Pelodiscus sinensis: one gene and its partner. The protein of the gene in region 1 interacts with the protein of each later gene in a biochemical or structural test. Links are inferred from orthologs where the notes say so. Each region holds a gene or a part of one and is shown on either strand. Other genes may lie near its edges.

The links. The genes of interacting proteins can lie anywhere in the genome.
Region 2: the proteins of ABL1 (region 1) and RAD51 form a complex in vitro, tested with the Homo sapiens proteins (2 studies listed by BioGRID). The link is inferred for Pelodiscus sinensis from reciprocal best matches to the Homo sapiens genes ABL1 and RAD51.

What each region holds. Positions count from the first base shown.
Region 1 is NC_134732.1:13,784,643-13,793,079, reverse strand, and holds the start of ABL1 (tyrosine-protein kinase ABL1), read right to left. Parts: upstream 3,338-8,437; 5' UTR 1,728-3,337; coding exon 1,592-1,727; intron 159-1,591; exon of another isoform or gene 86-158; coding exon of another isoform or gene 55-85; intron 1-54. UniProt on the Homo sapiens protein: Non-receptor tyrosine-protein kinase that plays a role in many key processes linked to cell growth and survival such as cytoskeleton remodeling in response to extracellular stimuli, cell motility and adhesion, receptor endocytosis, autophagy, DNA damage response and apoptosis.
Region 2 is NC_134714.1:63,239,814-63,247,776, reverse strand, and holds the start of RAD51 (DNA repair protein RAD51 homolog 1), read right to left. Parts: upstream 3,229-7,963; 5' UTR 3,087-3,228; intron 2,931-3,086; exon of another isoform or gene 2,713-2,930; intron 2,111-2,712; exon of another isoform or gene 2,059-2,110; intron 1,057-2,058; 5' UTR 1,030-1,056; coding exon 943-1,029; intron 1-942.

The DNA of each region.
Region 1 (8,437 bases):
AGAGGCAACAGAGATGGGACACATATGTGTATTTGATTAAAAAAAATAAAGTACTTGGTTTGGAGTGTTTCTGCAATGGGAACATGCCACTGATATCAGAGCTGTTGTAGCTTTATCATCCAGCTTCCCAAGAATTAGGTTCACTTTTCAAACAATCACTGCATAGACACATTGTATGGGAAGAGGGGAGAAATACAAATCATTTTTAATCATTGATGATTTTAATATTTTAACACACTTACTATTTCCACAGCATCTATCTGTAAATAATCCTAAAAATGATATTGAATTTTCTGGATCTTGTGGCCTTGGGAAATTCACAGTGAAGAAGTTTCGCAAACTAAATGTCCTTACAAAATAAGCCTCGGGCACATTTATTTTGAGAAACTTTTTTACCTGCTATTTAACTGTGTTCCCAGAGAAAGCAAATATTTCAGAGTTATCTGAAGTACAAAAATGGCAAATATTGATCTGTCTCATGCTTGAACAAAGTTACTCTGAGTAGCATAAAAATGCTAAATAACCATTGTCAGAATCATATTTTCTAGCTTAGTTAGTACCATGCTGTCTCAGAAGATCTTCTGAATTCAAATGTGCAGGATAGAGATTTAGTAAAAACATTTCAGCAACATATTTTTCTTTCTGTCTCTCTCTTCTAATGGGAAAACATAGCTTGAAATCTAATCAACTGTACAGTAAAAAAACATTTAACCAGCCACAAAAGCTCACTATCTTGTTTTCTTTTTGGGGGGAGGGATAAAAATAATATTTCTCTGTCCCCCATTACCGGTTCAAGACCCCCACAAACTAGGGTGACTAGACAGCGAGTGTGAAAAATTGGGACAAGCAATGGGGGGACGGGGAGGGTCCCTATAAGGGGGGGAAAAAACAAATGCAGAGACTGTCCCTATAAAATCAAGACATCTGGTCACCCTGACATAAACGTAAGGTGGTGGTGGTACTTGCTTCCAGTCCGGCAAGATGCTTTGCACAAGCTAGCACTCCAAGAGCGTCATAATAAAGGACTGAGACCTCACTGGCTACCTTGAAGCCCAGAAAAACTGAGCATCCACAAAAGTTGTCAACTACACAATGTAAAATCAAAACAATTCTCTTTATCTAAGGTGTTACTAGTATAGTAAATCCAAGTGTTTCAACGGAAGTGTGATATATTTCAGTTGCCCTTCAAATAAATGCAAAAAGGTTCATTATGACATTCTAGAGTCAAATCATCCAAATCCTTTACTAAAAAAATTCAAAAGATTCAAAAATTTGAAACCTAAAACCAAAAACATTTTTAAAATATCTGTCCTAAGCAACATTATGAAGAAGTTGCTTTCCTTGCTATTAGCTATACAAGAAATCCCACTGGGGTTTCACAAACCTGGGAAATGGCAATCTAACCATGACAAAAAAAAATCCTTAATAGCTGACCATACAGAGAGGTCACCAGAAACCTTAGGGAGCAGAAAAGGGAAAACGCAAAGGCTAAAACCCTTCTTTTTAAAACCATTTCATACAATTTAATAAATTAATATTGTATCCTAATATGCTAACTAAAAGCAAAAGGACCACAAATCAAAACACCTACCATGTTCCACGAAGACATTGCAGTGTGGGCCTCCATGCCTAGATGATTCTTTCTTCCCTGCTCCTTTGATAAAATGCAGGGCAGGCAGACTTGGCCTTCTCTGGTCCCCAAGAACTTTTCCAGGCTGCTGCCCCATAAAGTAACAATAGGCAATCTTCCCCAGAACAAGCAGTGTAAGGACTGAGATCCCTGATCTTCCAGGTTGGCTGAGAGTTTGCAAGTAAAATATTTTAGGTGTGTGCGTTCGTTGTGTTTATCACATCAGCAAACAGCTCACATTAAGCAGAGTTCAGTCAGGTGCACAGATTCTTTCAACACTTTAGAAACTGCAACAAGATTCTTCTGGTGCCTTTATGCAAAGCTCTGTTATAAGATGTTCCATTTATTTAGCAGTTACAAGTGTTACCAAAGTTTCTTGTTTGTAATGAGTCTTCCACTGAGTAAGTGGGAGCTACTTTATCTTACCAATAAGAAAACCACATATAGGGCCACCCAGGGCAGGAAATAGTCATTCCCATTGCAATCAGTGTCAGGATTTCTTTTTTTCCTTTTCTTTTGCATAGCACTTAGTTAATAAAGGCCAAAAAGCCAGTGATTTGGCTTCAAGTATTATTAAAGTGAGAGAGAATCAACTGTGTCAAAGTCATTTTAGATTTCCAATTAAACAGTTCAAAGTCTTTGAGGATCCATAATGACCTTTGAGTAAGGGGGATATTTCAGAGGAACTTGCAATCATTGAAGACCAATAGGTTTGCCTTCTCTGATAAGTTTTCTGCTACCTCTCCAATGCTCTGAACAAAGTGAATGGGCACTTCGGGATCATTTTGGAGCAGAAACAATAACAATCATTGTGACAATACAAGTAATGAACTACCCATCTGCACCAGCTTGCTGCTTATAAGGCAGAGAAGCCAACCCGGGCTTGTTCCTAATTGTTCATGAAAATACAAATGCCATTCTACTTGGTCCAGTCGATGCTGGTGGCAGGAAAGAGGCGCTAGTCCAGTGATGCTCTCCAGGAGGAAGGTTTCTGCACAGCAGCCAGAAAAGGTCAAGTTGGGGTGACGGGGCTGGCTTCATCCCAACTGGGAGCCTAGCACTGCAAAAGGCCTACTTGGTGAATTATGTAGTACGGCTCTGGCTCCTAAGGCTTGGCAAGAGAGTCTGAGGCCAAGAACCCTAATCCCCACAGGCCCTGAATGGCCCCCAAGGGCCAAGGATTCCAATAGGACAAGGGACAGAAACCCCGGAGGGGGTGTCGAACCCCAGTCTGGGGTGGAGGAGAAGGAGCAAAAGGAGACAAAGGGGATGAAGCTCGCTCTGGTGGGGGGGAGGGACGATCCAACACCCCCGGTGAGGGAAGAGGACACACAGCGGGGGGGGGGGGGGAGTGTTAAGGCCTACTCCGAGGAGGGGGAAAGTCCCGTGGGCGGGGGCGGGGAAGGGATTAAGCCCCGGTCGGGGGGGCCCCAGCGGGGCAGGGAACAAGCCCGCCAGGGAAGCGGGGCCACTGACGGGTCAGGCGGGTGACGGGGGCGATTCCCCCCACCCCGGGGGGCGGCTGCGAGTCCCCGGCTCCCCCCGGCCGGTCACATCCCCGGCCGGCCGCCGCCTCCTGCCGGCTTGTCGCCGCGGGGCTCTCACCGGCACCGGGCGGGGCGAGGGGGTCCGCTCCCGGCGCGCTCAGGGCGAGAGGAGCCCGCGGCACACGGCGGCCATGACAGGAACCTGCTAGCGCCCGAGCGAGGCTGCGAGGGGCGGGGCACGCAGCGGGCGGGGGCGGGGCTTGGAGGGGGCGGGGCGAGGGAATAGGGGGAGAGGAGAGGGGGAAAAGGAAGGGGGTAATAAAGGGGAGACAGAGGGGGGAGGAGGAGAAAGGGGGGAAGGAAGGAGGGAAATGGGGTAGAGGGGGAAGGAGGAGAAAGGGGGGAAGGAAGGAGGGAAATGGGGTAGGGGGGAAGGAGGAGAAAGGGGGGAAGGAAGGAGGGAAATGGGGTAGAGGGGGAAGGAGGAAAAAGGGGGAAGGAAGGAGGGAAATGGGGTAGAGAGGAAGGAAGGAGGAGAAAGGGGGGAAGGAAGGAGGGAAATGGGGTAGAGGGGGAAGGAGGAAATAAAGGGGACACCAAGGGGGAAGGGGAGGGATCAGAGGAAGGAAAGGGGGCCTGGCAGACATGTTGATGCACTGCACAGTATCAGGCCCACCAAGCAGGATTGCCCACCATAGCCCTAATTACACCACCTCAAAGGGGTGGCCATGTTAGTCTGTAACTTTAAAAACAACCAGTGGTCCTGTAGCACCTTAGGCTACATCTAGACTGCTGCTTTTTTTCGGAAAAAGGTACACAAATTGCGCACTGCAACTTGCGTACCTTTTTCCGATTGATTTTTCGGAAGAGGCTTTTTCAAAATTAGGTCCATCTACACGGGGTCAAATTTTGGAAAACCTCCTCTTCTGGAAGAGCCCTTATTCCTCATAAAATGTGGAATACAGGGCTTCCGAAAGAGTGTGTCTGCTCTTCCAAAAAAAATGTCGGAAGAGCAGACGTGTTCCCTGGATGTGGTGGTATCCCAGAAAAACTCCGTAGTCTAGACATAGCCTTAGAGACTATCAAAACTATATAAAACCTTGAGCTTCTGTGAGTAAAACACAAGCAGTCCCGATGGTTTGTTGTTCAGGTCACGTGTTCTCGCTCTGTGCTCTCTGTCCTGGCAACATCATGCATTTAGGAGACACACCCTCCCTCAGGTTGCTTCCCGGGTTGGATCTCTCACCTGACCCATCTTACACACCCTTTCCAAGGACTTGTCTACCTAGGGAAAATGACCAAAATAACTAGTCCGCTTTGAAAGTAGATTAAGCTAAATCAGGAAAGGCACACTTTTATATCAAGAAAAAGAGTGCCCCTATAGAGAGTTATTCCAGAATAGCTATCATGCTTTAAATTCACCCTCTACTTCATTTCAGGACAACTTCCCTGTGTAGACAAGCCATAAACTTCACCTTGCATTTGGTTACAACTGGCTATACAATACTCTATGGCTGTTTAGGGGCTAACCTCATCTATGTTGTCTACCATGTACCAACAAAGTCCACTGTATCCTACCACACTCTACCCATTGTTCCCTATAATTTTGCCTTGGGCATCTGGCAACACAAGGTTTACTCCCTGACTTGATTTAGAGGTACCAATGAAAGCCCTGCAGGGGATTATTTCTCTTGTCTCACTGCTGCTTATTTGCTCTTCCCAGAGCATGGGCTGCAAGCCTGATGTTTCTTTTCCAAAACCATGAGTTCAGGAACCTGCCCACATTCTCTGAATGCAGCCATCCAGCTGAGCCCCCTGAGTACATCTGTTTTTCTATGCTGTTTGCAGGGTCTATAAATCCTGTTGTTGGCTATAGCAGACATTTCGATTGTCAACTCCTTGGGAACTGCTCCATCTCTGTTTCAGAGAAGGACAAACACAGCGACAGTGCTTAAAGATTGCCAGGTTTCTGAAACAATCAGTTCCAGGTTTTAAACTCATGAAGGCTCATGAGCCTGCCCATCCCTAGGGTAGCTCAGAGGGAAGGCTCATGGTCCTTCATGAAAAGACAGTGGTTTTCTTTCCAGCAGTGATGGATCCTCCTCTCACAAAAGCTGGGATTTCAATTGTACCTAAGGGAGTTAGGTACCCATTTTAATGGGAGTTGGACACCTAACACTCTCAGACAGACTCCTTTGAAAATGGTAGCCTAGGATAATTTCCCTCTCAGTGCAAATGATAGGGAAGGGTAGGAATCAAAGGAACCTACTCATACAAAGGAATATGTTGGTTCAGGAATTGAATAAAGAGAGTACGTGAACCCAGAAATGTCCTTTGCAAATGGCCTTCAGGATTTAGTTGTGGATTTAGTGAACTAGCAGGATTTGCATAGACCACTGGCGACCTCTACTGACTATTTAGAAAAATATTCGAACGCCTGAAAGGAAAGAACCCCTTACCTGCTGATGCTTCTGGTCAGAGGCCCCTGCCCAACAACAGTGGGTTCATTACTTAGCTTCACAGCAATTAACATGTTCACACATTGTCATCTATTTGACAAGGAACCTAACAGGTGGAAACTTCCTATGCTAAAACCAAAAGGAAACAAAAACTCGGACCTAAAACAGATGGGCTGGATTTTGAACTAACTTCTCGTGCATTTCTGACAGTGCCTGCAGATAAATAGGTGTGCAGAGGCGTAGTGAGGGTGTTATGCGCCCGGGGGCAAAGGAAAAATTTGCGCCCCTCCCTCCCCCCCCATCGCCATGTGGCACAGCACCGAACCTGGTGCACAGCTGAGGGGAACTTGTACTACAGTTTGGGGCCGGGCTCCCGCATGCACTAACCCGCCGGTGGAGATGGAAGAGGGGTCGGGCTTGGAGCAGCGAGGCAGGCAGGAGGCTCCAGCTGCCGGTGGCAGGCAGAGTAGGAGCACGTGAGCTGAAGGGATAACGGAGGGAGCAGAATGGGATTAAATTGGAGCCTTCCTAGCATGGTGCCCAGGGGCAACTGACCTCTCCGGCCCCCTCGCTATGCCACTGCCCCCCCTCCTGCAGATCTATCATCTGATGCATGTGCAAGATCTGTGAGAGCCGTCCCATGAATCTGCAGTTAGTGTCTGTGGCGCCTGCTTCTGGGTGATGTCTCAATGCTGCCACATTCACCTCCAAAGAGGGGGCTTCCCAAAGCAGGCCCTTGCTACTGACCCTCAAAGCATCCACAGGTCCAGTCTCCTTTCAATGGGCCCACTTCCCAGGGCTCATTGATCTCGGATCTGGCTTCCATCCCCTCTCCAACCTTTGCAACTGCCCAGAGGTGCTCACCTTCCGCCTTCTACATTCCCACCTCATTCACCCCACAGGGACAGTCTCTGCCTCACTAGTCCTAGGGACTATTCTACCAAGACGTAATACAAAGTTTATATGTAAAAGGACTCACTACAAAGCTAAACACTTCAATGAGAGAATGATTAATACAGAGACATGTCTACATCTGCTGCAGGGAGACACCTCTGCCTGCCTCCACCCCTCTCCCCCCAGAGTCTACAGCCCCATTGCAAAGCAGGGGAGGGGAAGAAAAGAGGCTGAGGCCCATCCAATGGGACCGAAGCAGTCATGAGCAAGCCATGCCCGGGAGCCATTCTCCTGTCCACTGCTGGTGCTGTGTTGCTTCAGGCACGCTGAAATGCAGTCACCTCTAGGGTGGGCTGGACAGCTGTTTAACACCTGCACAAGGTTTCAGGCAGGGATCAGTGCAGGCTGCCTTCCTGCAGAGCCCCCATCAGAACTAAGCCTCCTGGCTTAGGAAAAGAATAAACAGGAGGTTGGAAATTAACCCGCCCAGTCTCATGTCCCCTAGGCAGGGACTGAGCCATCTACATTAGGCCCCAGCTGAAGTATCATGTTCAGTTCTGGGCGCCACATTTCAGGAAACATGGAGAAACTGGAGAAAGTCCAGAGAAGATCAACACAAATGATGAAAGTTCTAGAGAACATGACCTATGAGGCAAGGCTGAAGGAATTGGCTGTGTTTACCTTGGAAAAGAGAAGACCGAAAAGGGACATGAGAGCAGCTCTCAAGTATCTAAAAGAGTATCATGAGGAGGAGGAAGAAAAATTGTTCTCCTTGGCCTCTGAGGTTAGGATGAGAAGCAATGGGCTTAAATTGCAGCAAGGGAGGTTTAAGTTGGACATTAGGAAAAACTTCCTGCCCATCAGGGTGGTTAAACACTGGAATAAATTGCCTAGGGAGATTGCGGCATCTCCATCACTGGAGATATTTAAGACCAGGTTAGACTGATGAGGGATGAGGTAGGGCAACTTGTCAGGGATGAGCTAGGGCAACTAAACTTTGGAAGCCCCAGGGGCTACACTGATACTTACAGAACATGTTGAGGGCCTCAACTTAAGTGTGGTTACATATGCAAGAAAATATATACAAATAGCTTCTCTCACACTGACAGGCATGAATACAAAGATTAAGGCAAGACTACACAACACACAGGCCTCATTTAAGTCAGCTCTGCTGATATTCATAAAATGCAACATTTACCTGATTTCTACCCATGTGACAGCACTTTTCATGAGCAATGACAGTCCAAGAATTTAACTACTAAAACACACATCAACAGAAGATCATTACACTGACTACTTTTTTGTTTTGCCTCCCACTTGCCAGCCACGTGTTGATCCCCACATAAACCCAAACTGCACCGCGGGGCGCAAACGAACTGGCCATGGGCAGCATACCATGTTATTAATAAATATTTTTAAACCTTTACCTTTTCTGTCTGCTGCCATGTCTCCTCTCCTTGCTCCATCATCTCCCCTGGTGCCTGCTGCCCCCCAACTCCTCACTCTCCTTTGCTGGCCTGACTCCTGCCCTTCTACGACCTTTCCCCCTCCACCAGCCCTTCTCTCCCTCCTGTGCCCACTCCTCCAGGTGAGCTACCCCTCCTCATCCCCTCTTCTAACACCTCTCTCTACACACCTGCCCTGCCCCTCGCCTCTGGTGCTCGTCCCTTCCCTGCAGGTGTCTGCCCTTCTGCTTCACCCGCAGAATACCCTGGCACCTGCACCTTCCCTTAGCCCTGCACCCTCCTGGTGCTCCCCCTTCCCTCACTGCCCCTGCCCCTTTTGCCCTCTTTTTCCCTGATGCCCACCCCCTCTCCACTCTCTGCCCCCATTCCTCTCATGCCCCTGTGCCCTCACACGACTTGCTCCATCCCCACCTTTCTCATGCCCACCCCTTTCAAGCCTTCTCCCAGCACCTCTCCCTCCCCCTCTAGACCATAATGCCCTTCCCCTCTCCTCTCCTCTCC
Region 2 (7,963 bases), on another chromosome or scaffold:
GGAGCAATACAGGTTCAGGAAAACTAGTCCATCCTGCTCCAACAGAATATTTGGCATGTTAATTTTATGTTGATTCAGGTACAATTTTATTTGGTTCCCCATGGTGTTTCAAAGCAGCAGTGCCCTGTGGAGCCCAGGGTCAGCGGGAGAGTCGCCAGCTGACCCCGGGCTCCACGCAGCACTGCCACTTGGAAGAGGCAGCAAGCGGGGGAAGCGACTAGTTGACAAGCATTTGCTTATTGGATAGTCAACTAGTCATTCACATCCCAAGTTTCAATGCATTTATTACAAAACCTGGAGTATCAGTATATTATCAAAGTGGTAACTGAACACAGTGTTTTGTATTAATGCATTCCTGAAGTTAATCTTTCATATTTTTAATACACATTTCTGGATAAGATTTTTCTTCTTTGACAAACATCAAACAGGCAGAGTCAGTGACAACTTTTAAATGCAACTTCTAGTTAAATATAAAGACTGTTGGTTTGTTTGGCAAAGAGGTCCAGAGCTAGTCACTCATTACTAGGGATGTTAAAAAATGGGTTTTTTAATAACCGCATAACAGCTGAAATTTTACATGCACGTTTACACCTGAGAGGGAAGGCAGCTCTGTGGGAGCCTATGCACACAGGGAGCAGGCTTTTAAGCTGGCTCCCACCGAGCTGCCTCCCCTCACTCCATCCTTATCCCCCCACCATCACAGCCAGCAAGATGGTGGGGCAGGTGGCTCCCTAAGAGCCCAGTGCTCACAGGGAGTCTGCTTAAAAGCCAGCTCTCCACAAAGACTTGCCCTCACCCTGTGCTGCTGCCTGTGATACAGAGGCCACAGCATGGGGGGGAAGAAGGTGGGTTGCATGTAGTCAGCCAGGTTAATCGATGAACCTGGGCTTCTTAGTTAACCATTTAAGCATTTAGACTGTCACATCCCTACTTATTACATACCTCTAGCCTTGATATGGGCTGTGGACCAAAGCTTTCTTCCTCAGTTGATGTCTCTGCATTTGCTTCATATTGCATTTGCATGGCCATTGCACCAAGTATTAGATACAACTTCCCCTAAGAGAAAATACAAAAAAGGGGTGCCACTGCTCAAACATGCCTCTCTTCTACAAGAGACCACTAGTTCTTGTACCAGCCCTAGCACTGGCTGCTCTGGCCCCAGGAGCCCAAGCCCGAGGCCTGCTGCTGACAGCACGCTGTTCCAGCCAGACTGGAGCAGTCCACCGGCCAGGATTCTTTTTAGTTGGTAAACTGGTTAAACATTAGGTTAATCTAATCCAGTTAACTGATTAATTGGGATTTTACATCATTAGTCTGAGCAGCCCCCGCCCCAATCCTAACACCCTGCCCAGACTTCCCACACCATAACCCTCAGCACTGAGACCTCTCTCATACCCCCTGCCCTGATCCCTCCTCATACCTACCAAACCTGGCTCCTGCATCCCCCATTCAGAGTTCCCTGCCCTGAGCCCCTCATACAACCCAATGCTGACTCCTGCATCCCCACACCATAACTCCTGCACTCCCTGTATACCCAAGCCCTGAACCCCCCCAACTAAGGATGTAAAATCTAGGTTACTCAGGTAACCAGTTAAATGTTAGGTTAACCTAATGGTTAATCAGTTAGCTGACTAGCAGGATACCTCACTACTCCAGCCCTCACGTCTCCATCCCCTCTGTCTCTGCAAGCTCCTACACTGAGGCTAGGCTGGCTCTACTGGCTCCCAGACCCTGCGCTGGAGAAAGGACTGGCTCTGCTGTCTCCTGGCTCCCATGCTAGGGTGGGGGCTGGCTCTGGCTCTGCTGGCTCCCAGCCCCCATGCCTGTGGCAGGCTGAGGATGGGGGGCTGCTCCCAGAGGAACCAGTTAACTATTACCTGGTAAGCATCACCTAGTAATGGTGATGCTTACCAGGTTCCCATTCACATCCCTACACTCCACTCCACACTTAAATTTCTTACAAGTACTGTTGTATCTCAAACCCTCCCCACCGCTTCAAGGCCCCCCCCACGGGGGGGTGGGGGGGGGACACAGGACAGGTTGTGATAAATTTCTCACCAGTGCAGTTCTAAGTTACTTTCACCCCTTGCTTTTAAAAGTCCAGGAGGCTCTGAAACCAAAGAGATCTATGTGAAGGAACATAATAACTGACATATGGGATGAGAGATAAAGACCACATACTGCAGTATTCTATCTCCAAGAGTGACTAATACAGGTGCTTCACAGAAGGTGAAAGAATCTCACTGCAGAAAAATGTGGCAATCTGTTCCCATCAGGCCTTATCCTGGACTTTAATATTTGGAGATGGTCTTAAGTCTCTGAAGCATAAGCTTTACTATCGCTTCCAAATTGTTTATAATAAAGTTTGACAACTTGGGACATTCAGATGTACCCATATGGATCTCCAAGCCCTTTTTTTAATCCTGCTAAATTCTTGCCCTCAATGACATCCATTAGCAATGACTGCCAGTCTAATTACAATCTCTCCCCTTGTGAGATTCTTTCCCCAAACCTTTGATCACCTTCTGAACCCCTTCCAAGTCTGTATTACCCTTTTCTCAGAAGGTTTGCAACTGCACAAGACAGTCCAGAAGCAGCTGTATCACTGATTTCTATGACAAGATTCCCCATCTGCCCTCTCCTCTCCTAGTACCATTTGTAGTTCCTAGGACTTAGCTGCATGTTGAGTTGGGCTCTGTGTTGAGCACAGACCTTTGTTGACTTGTCTCCCGTGACGCTTTCAGGAGCTGGCACAGGACCGGGTGCAATGTTCGTATTTTTGGTTCAGCAACGAGGGGTCATCAAAAGCAACGGACAGGCAGGGCCCAGACGCAGCCCTGGATGACCGTACGCAGCTTTGAAGCTAGTGGGTTGCCCGGGCGAGGCTGAGCGCGGCGGAGACTGGAGGCAGCGCGGCCCTGGCTCGCCCAGCGCGGCCCGGGGTGATACCGGCCTGTGGGCCGGGCCCTGAGGCCGCGCAGCTTCCCCGGTACCGCCCGGACCGCGCTGGACGGGCGAGCCCTGCCCAGGCCCCTCGGGCTCGGGGCGCTGCCCCTGTCCTGGCGGCGAGGCCGCCCCGCACTCACCCCGCCGCGGCGCCGGCTCCTCGCCCCGGTCCGTTGGCGTTCCCCGGCCGCTGGCAGATTCGGAAAAGCCCGCCAGTCCGTCACGTGACGCGTGCGCGTCGCCCCGCCGCTTCCTGGCGCTGCCTTGTCTTCGGGCTGCCCGGAAGTTGGTGTTCCTGAGCATGCGCGTGAGAGCTGCGCGTGCTCAGTAACATCTGTTGAAGCTGCTGCCCAGTCTCTGGGGATTCCATCTGACTCCTGTTCCCCGGGCCTGGCGAGGGCAGGCCGAAGAGGTGGAAGTCTGGCGGGGCCAAGCACAAGAGGGGCAGAGGAAGGAGCTGTGCCAAGCTAGGGACAGAGGGCGATGTATTCCAGCCTGGGGCAGGAGGATGCAGTGACCCCACCTGGGGTGAGTCCTCTGCACTCGGGGGTGCTGGTTCTAAGAGCTATTGAATCAAAGTGTAGCCCTGCAGCTATAGGTGCTGAAGCCCCCCACACTCCTAGTTCCTGCTTGCAGCAGAGCTCCTACAGCCCCTGATGAGACTGTGCATCGCAGCATCCAGGGCTCTGTGTTTTAAGCAGTGGTGCTGCACCTCCATGCCTAGCCAGAGCAGCTCTTCCCTGGTTTAAGGATGTATTGAGCTGCTGAAGACTCGCTTCAGTGACATATTGCTCGCTCGCTCTCGCGCGCGCGCGCACACACACACACACACACAACCCCCCTCCCCCCAAATGATACAGTCGTCATTCATGGCTGTAGCAGTTGAAAGAATAACTTATGAGTTCATGTGTCTGCATAAAGCCTCATAGCAACTAACAAATTTGTGAATTGTTTTTTGGCTTGCCCGAAGAGGACGGCCTTGCCCTTGTAATCCATCCCAGACTTGATTTCACGCCTTTACATTATTTATTTTAATGGTATTTTTATTGCACTTGGCACTTTGCATTTGCCTTTCTTTGGCATTCTCAAGAGAAATGTCATGCTATTTATATTTGATAGCAAATAATCATTGAAGATATTAATAGTTGTTAGTAGAATTCAGCAATCACATCTCAGCATTTCTAATATAACAGCCTGTTTTTAATGCATTTATAATTTTTAAGTCTACATGTTTGATTAGAACAGATTTACTAATTGGGATCATGTGAATTCAAGAATAATTGATTTATTGGGTAGCTGTCAAAACTGCTGTAGTTTCCATGAACTGCCACTAGAAAGTGTCTTTTGTGATATATTGATTGAAACATGACCAGGTAGATCATTGTTGCTACTACTGTTATATAATTTCAACAAATCTTATATGAAGTATCAAGTAAGATGTCAATAGAAAAGTTATCGTTTGCTGAGTATGATTATGGTACTAATATGATGCATATGTGTCAGTGTATGTAAAGGGAGCAGTTGCTCCCAGGTGATTTAAAGGGGTTCAGCCCCCCCCAAGCCATTTAAAATTTCCACTGGAGCACTGCCATGGCCCTCTGGGTGGCTCTTAGGGCTACCTAATGAGGCAGAAGCAGCACACTACAAGCAGTGATGGGGGGGGAGGAGAAAGGAAGGGAGGAGTGCCGCAGGCAGTGCCATTCTACCTGAGACACCCCACCCCTTCCAAGAGCTTGGTGCTACCCTTCTACCTTGCCCAGGTTACCCTGTATGCCAATATAATTCATGTATTAGGACCAGTAGCCAGAGCTATCTCATCCATAAGACAGGTTGGAGTGGCCACCCTAGGCCCAGGGGATTGTGTAGGAGGCAAGGCACAGGGCAGCAGCAGGGGTCTGCTTCCCACCCCTGCCCTCAGGTGGCTGTGGGAGCCTCCTCTGCTCCATCCCCCATCCCCCAGCTGCTGCATTCCACTGCACTGCTGTAGTGAAGCATAGCTACCCAGCTGTGGAAGATAGTCAGCAGAGCAGGCTGGAGCAGCCATGGACCTGAGGAGGGGGCAAGCCTATCTGTTTGGATTTAAATTAGGGATGATATCTAAATTTAGCAGTTACACAATTATTTGATAGTCCCTGGTGGCAGGGGCCGCAGCCTCTGTCCTCAGGGAGTTTGAGCCTCCCGCAGACAGGTATTGCTGCCGCAGAGCAGCCTCTGGTTGAGGCAGGACCAAGCTTGCTGCGGACAGAGGCTGCTCTGTGGGATGCCAGTGCAGCCTGGGTCCATGGGGAGCTTGAGACCTTTGCAGATTCAGCCCCTTGCCATTTTGCACTGCTGCCTCTCTAGCAGAAGCAACACTGTAGGGGAGAAGGCTCCATAGGATCTAGTGCTCACGTGGAATCAGCTTAAAAGCTGGATTCCCACAGGCACTGGCTCTCATCTCCCCCTCCCTTGCTGCTTCTGACAGAGGGAGCTAGTGTATGCATGGGGGGAGGAGAAGAGAGGGGAAATACATGTAGTCAATAGAATTAATAAGCCTAGTCTTATCAGTTAGTCATGTAATCAACTACACATTGACAGCCCTAGTTTAAATAGCCACTCATTAAGTTTAGTGGTGATACAAGGACTGAGGAAGCTGCTTTTCTGACTACTTGTTAGCTTGTGTGGTAAAACAAAAGTTTACTGTCGTTGTTGGATTGCTACGTCTTGTGGGAGAATAGCCACCAACTCAAGAGGCATTTACCCTACTTCTCAGCAGTTTTTCTCTGATAAGGTACCAAAAAAAAGGGGTAAGCTCAATGGTACCAGTCTTCTATGTTGATGCTGACCATTTCTGGTAGATGGTACTGGAGCCTTCTCAGAAGGCTTAGAAAAGCTGCAGTACTTTCCTGACTCACTGGTACTGAAGGGAGCCCTTCACTTTGGATACTGAGCCTCAAGGACCAAGTCTCTGAGTTTGCTGTCCTGCTTGGAGGGTGAAGTCGCTGGGAGGTGGATTTTTTAAGAGGGGAGCTCATCTAAGATCTTTAGATGAAATCACTGAAGCTTTCCCTCTTATATGCAAATGCCGCACTGAGATCAAAATAGTGTCTTGGTCTGGCTCCAAAGCAGGACAAAGAGAGCACTTCATCATTAATAGCTGCAGCTTGATTTCCCGATTCCTCTCTATACAAAAGGCAACCTTTAAACCCTATTGAACTGGATGTACACAGTGGAAGATTTTCCCAGAGGAAATGAAACCTCTCAAATAACTAGTAACTACTACTATCCAATATGAATGTGAAAGTGTAACTGTGTGAATGGTTAACCAATGAGCCTGGGTAAAATAAAGCCTGGCCCAGCCCTTTGCCTGCTGGCATGGAGGAATGGCTAGGCCAAATTTGAATGAGTGACATTGTGTCCTGGCATGCAGGATCATAGTAATACCACTCTAATTTGTCCCAATTTGATTGCTTTCCCCCCCATCTCACCCCTGCTGTCCTTTTAGCATACTTGAAAAGATCTAACACACAAGTCAACTAAAAGGAACCTTCAGTTAGACACATCTGGTAAGGGGCCACAGCCACTTTATTCATGATTTATATAACAATTTTCCTGTAATAAGAATATCAAGGCATGGTTGCAGTTAAATAGGAATATCTACATATCAGTGGTGCATATCTTAGAATGACCAAGATCTTTATGGCATTCATCTGCTCCTAATCAACAAGGACAAGAAAGCTATTAGAACAAAATGTAATGGCATGGTGTCACTGTAGACACTTATGGGAAATTGTCCTACCAGACAAAGTATTGCCTAATCAGGATAGCATTGTTAGAAGTATCTACAAAGTCTTCATGCTTTCCATTAAGATGTTTATTGAATCTGTCTTTTAGTACTGGCAAACTACCAGGCGTGTGGACATGAGCTACAGTAATAGCCATCCATAGAGAGGATTGAGAAGATTTTAAAGGGGTACAGCCTGTTACATATTCAATAGTAAAATACCGGAGAGCACAGCCTAAGATTGATACAGTATGTATACACACACATTCGGGTTTTAAAAGTCAGTATTTCATGAGCCACCCCCCCATAAGTCAATAGTGGTATAAAATTGGGCAGGGGAGGGGGGAAAATAGGGTGAATCTTAAGTAGAGAACAATCTTCTTCCCTTTACTTCTTACCTTTTATTTGCATTATGCCATTCCAACATAGCTCAAATATCTCAAGGCAGAGGCATTCACTCATTTGTAAAGTGTCACATATGTGGTACTATGAAAGTACTACTTGATCTTCTAATTATAGGGCTATCAAGCAATTAAAACATTTAATCACGATTAATTGAGCAACTAATTGCATGCGCCTCCCCTTTGAAATGGCCTCGCCACGGCATTTCAACGGGGCAGTGCTGCATGGAGCCCAGGATCATTCCTAACTGTCAGGATGGTCAAATATTGGAATAAATTGCCAAGGGAGGTGGTGGAATCTCCTTCTCTGGAGATATTTAAGAACAGGTTAGATAGACATCTGTCAGGGATGGTGTAGACGGAGCTGGACTCGATGACCTCTCGAGGTCCCTTCCACTCCTATAATTCTATGATCAGCTGGAGTCCCCAGCTGACCCCTAGCTCCATGCAGGCTGCCCCTTGGAAGTGCCGCAGCTTTCCAAGGGGCAGCACATTAAGAGCCTGGGATCAGCTGATCCCTGGCTCCTAATACGCTGCCCCTTTAAAGCACCAAAATGGCACTTCCAAGAGGCAGCGCAGCATTAACACCTGCGATTAACATGTTAAAAACAGAACGTGTTAATGCTGTCCTGCATTAATCACAGGCGCTAACGCAGGTCAATTGACTTCTTCTTAAACCCTTGTACTCCGAGTGGAGCATAGGTCATATACAAGTCTCCTCCACTTCACTCTGTCTTGAGAGAAAACTAGCTGACTCTAGGAGTACCCCAGTTTTTGTCCTTCAATTGACAGCCCTAATTAATTATATTTCAATGGGCTCATTCTTTTGCTTAAATTGTCAACTTTATATTTG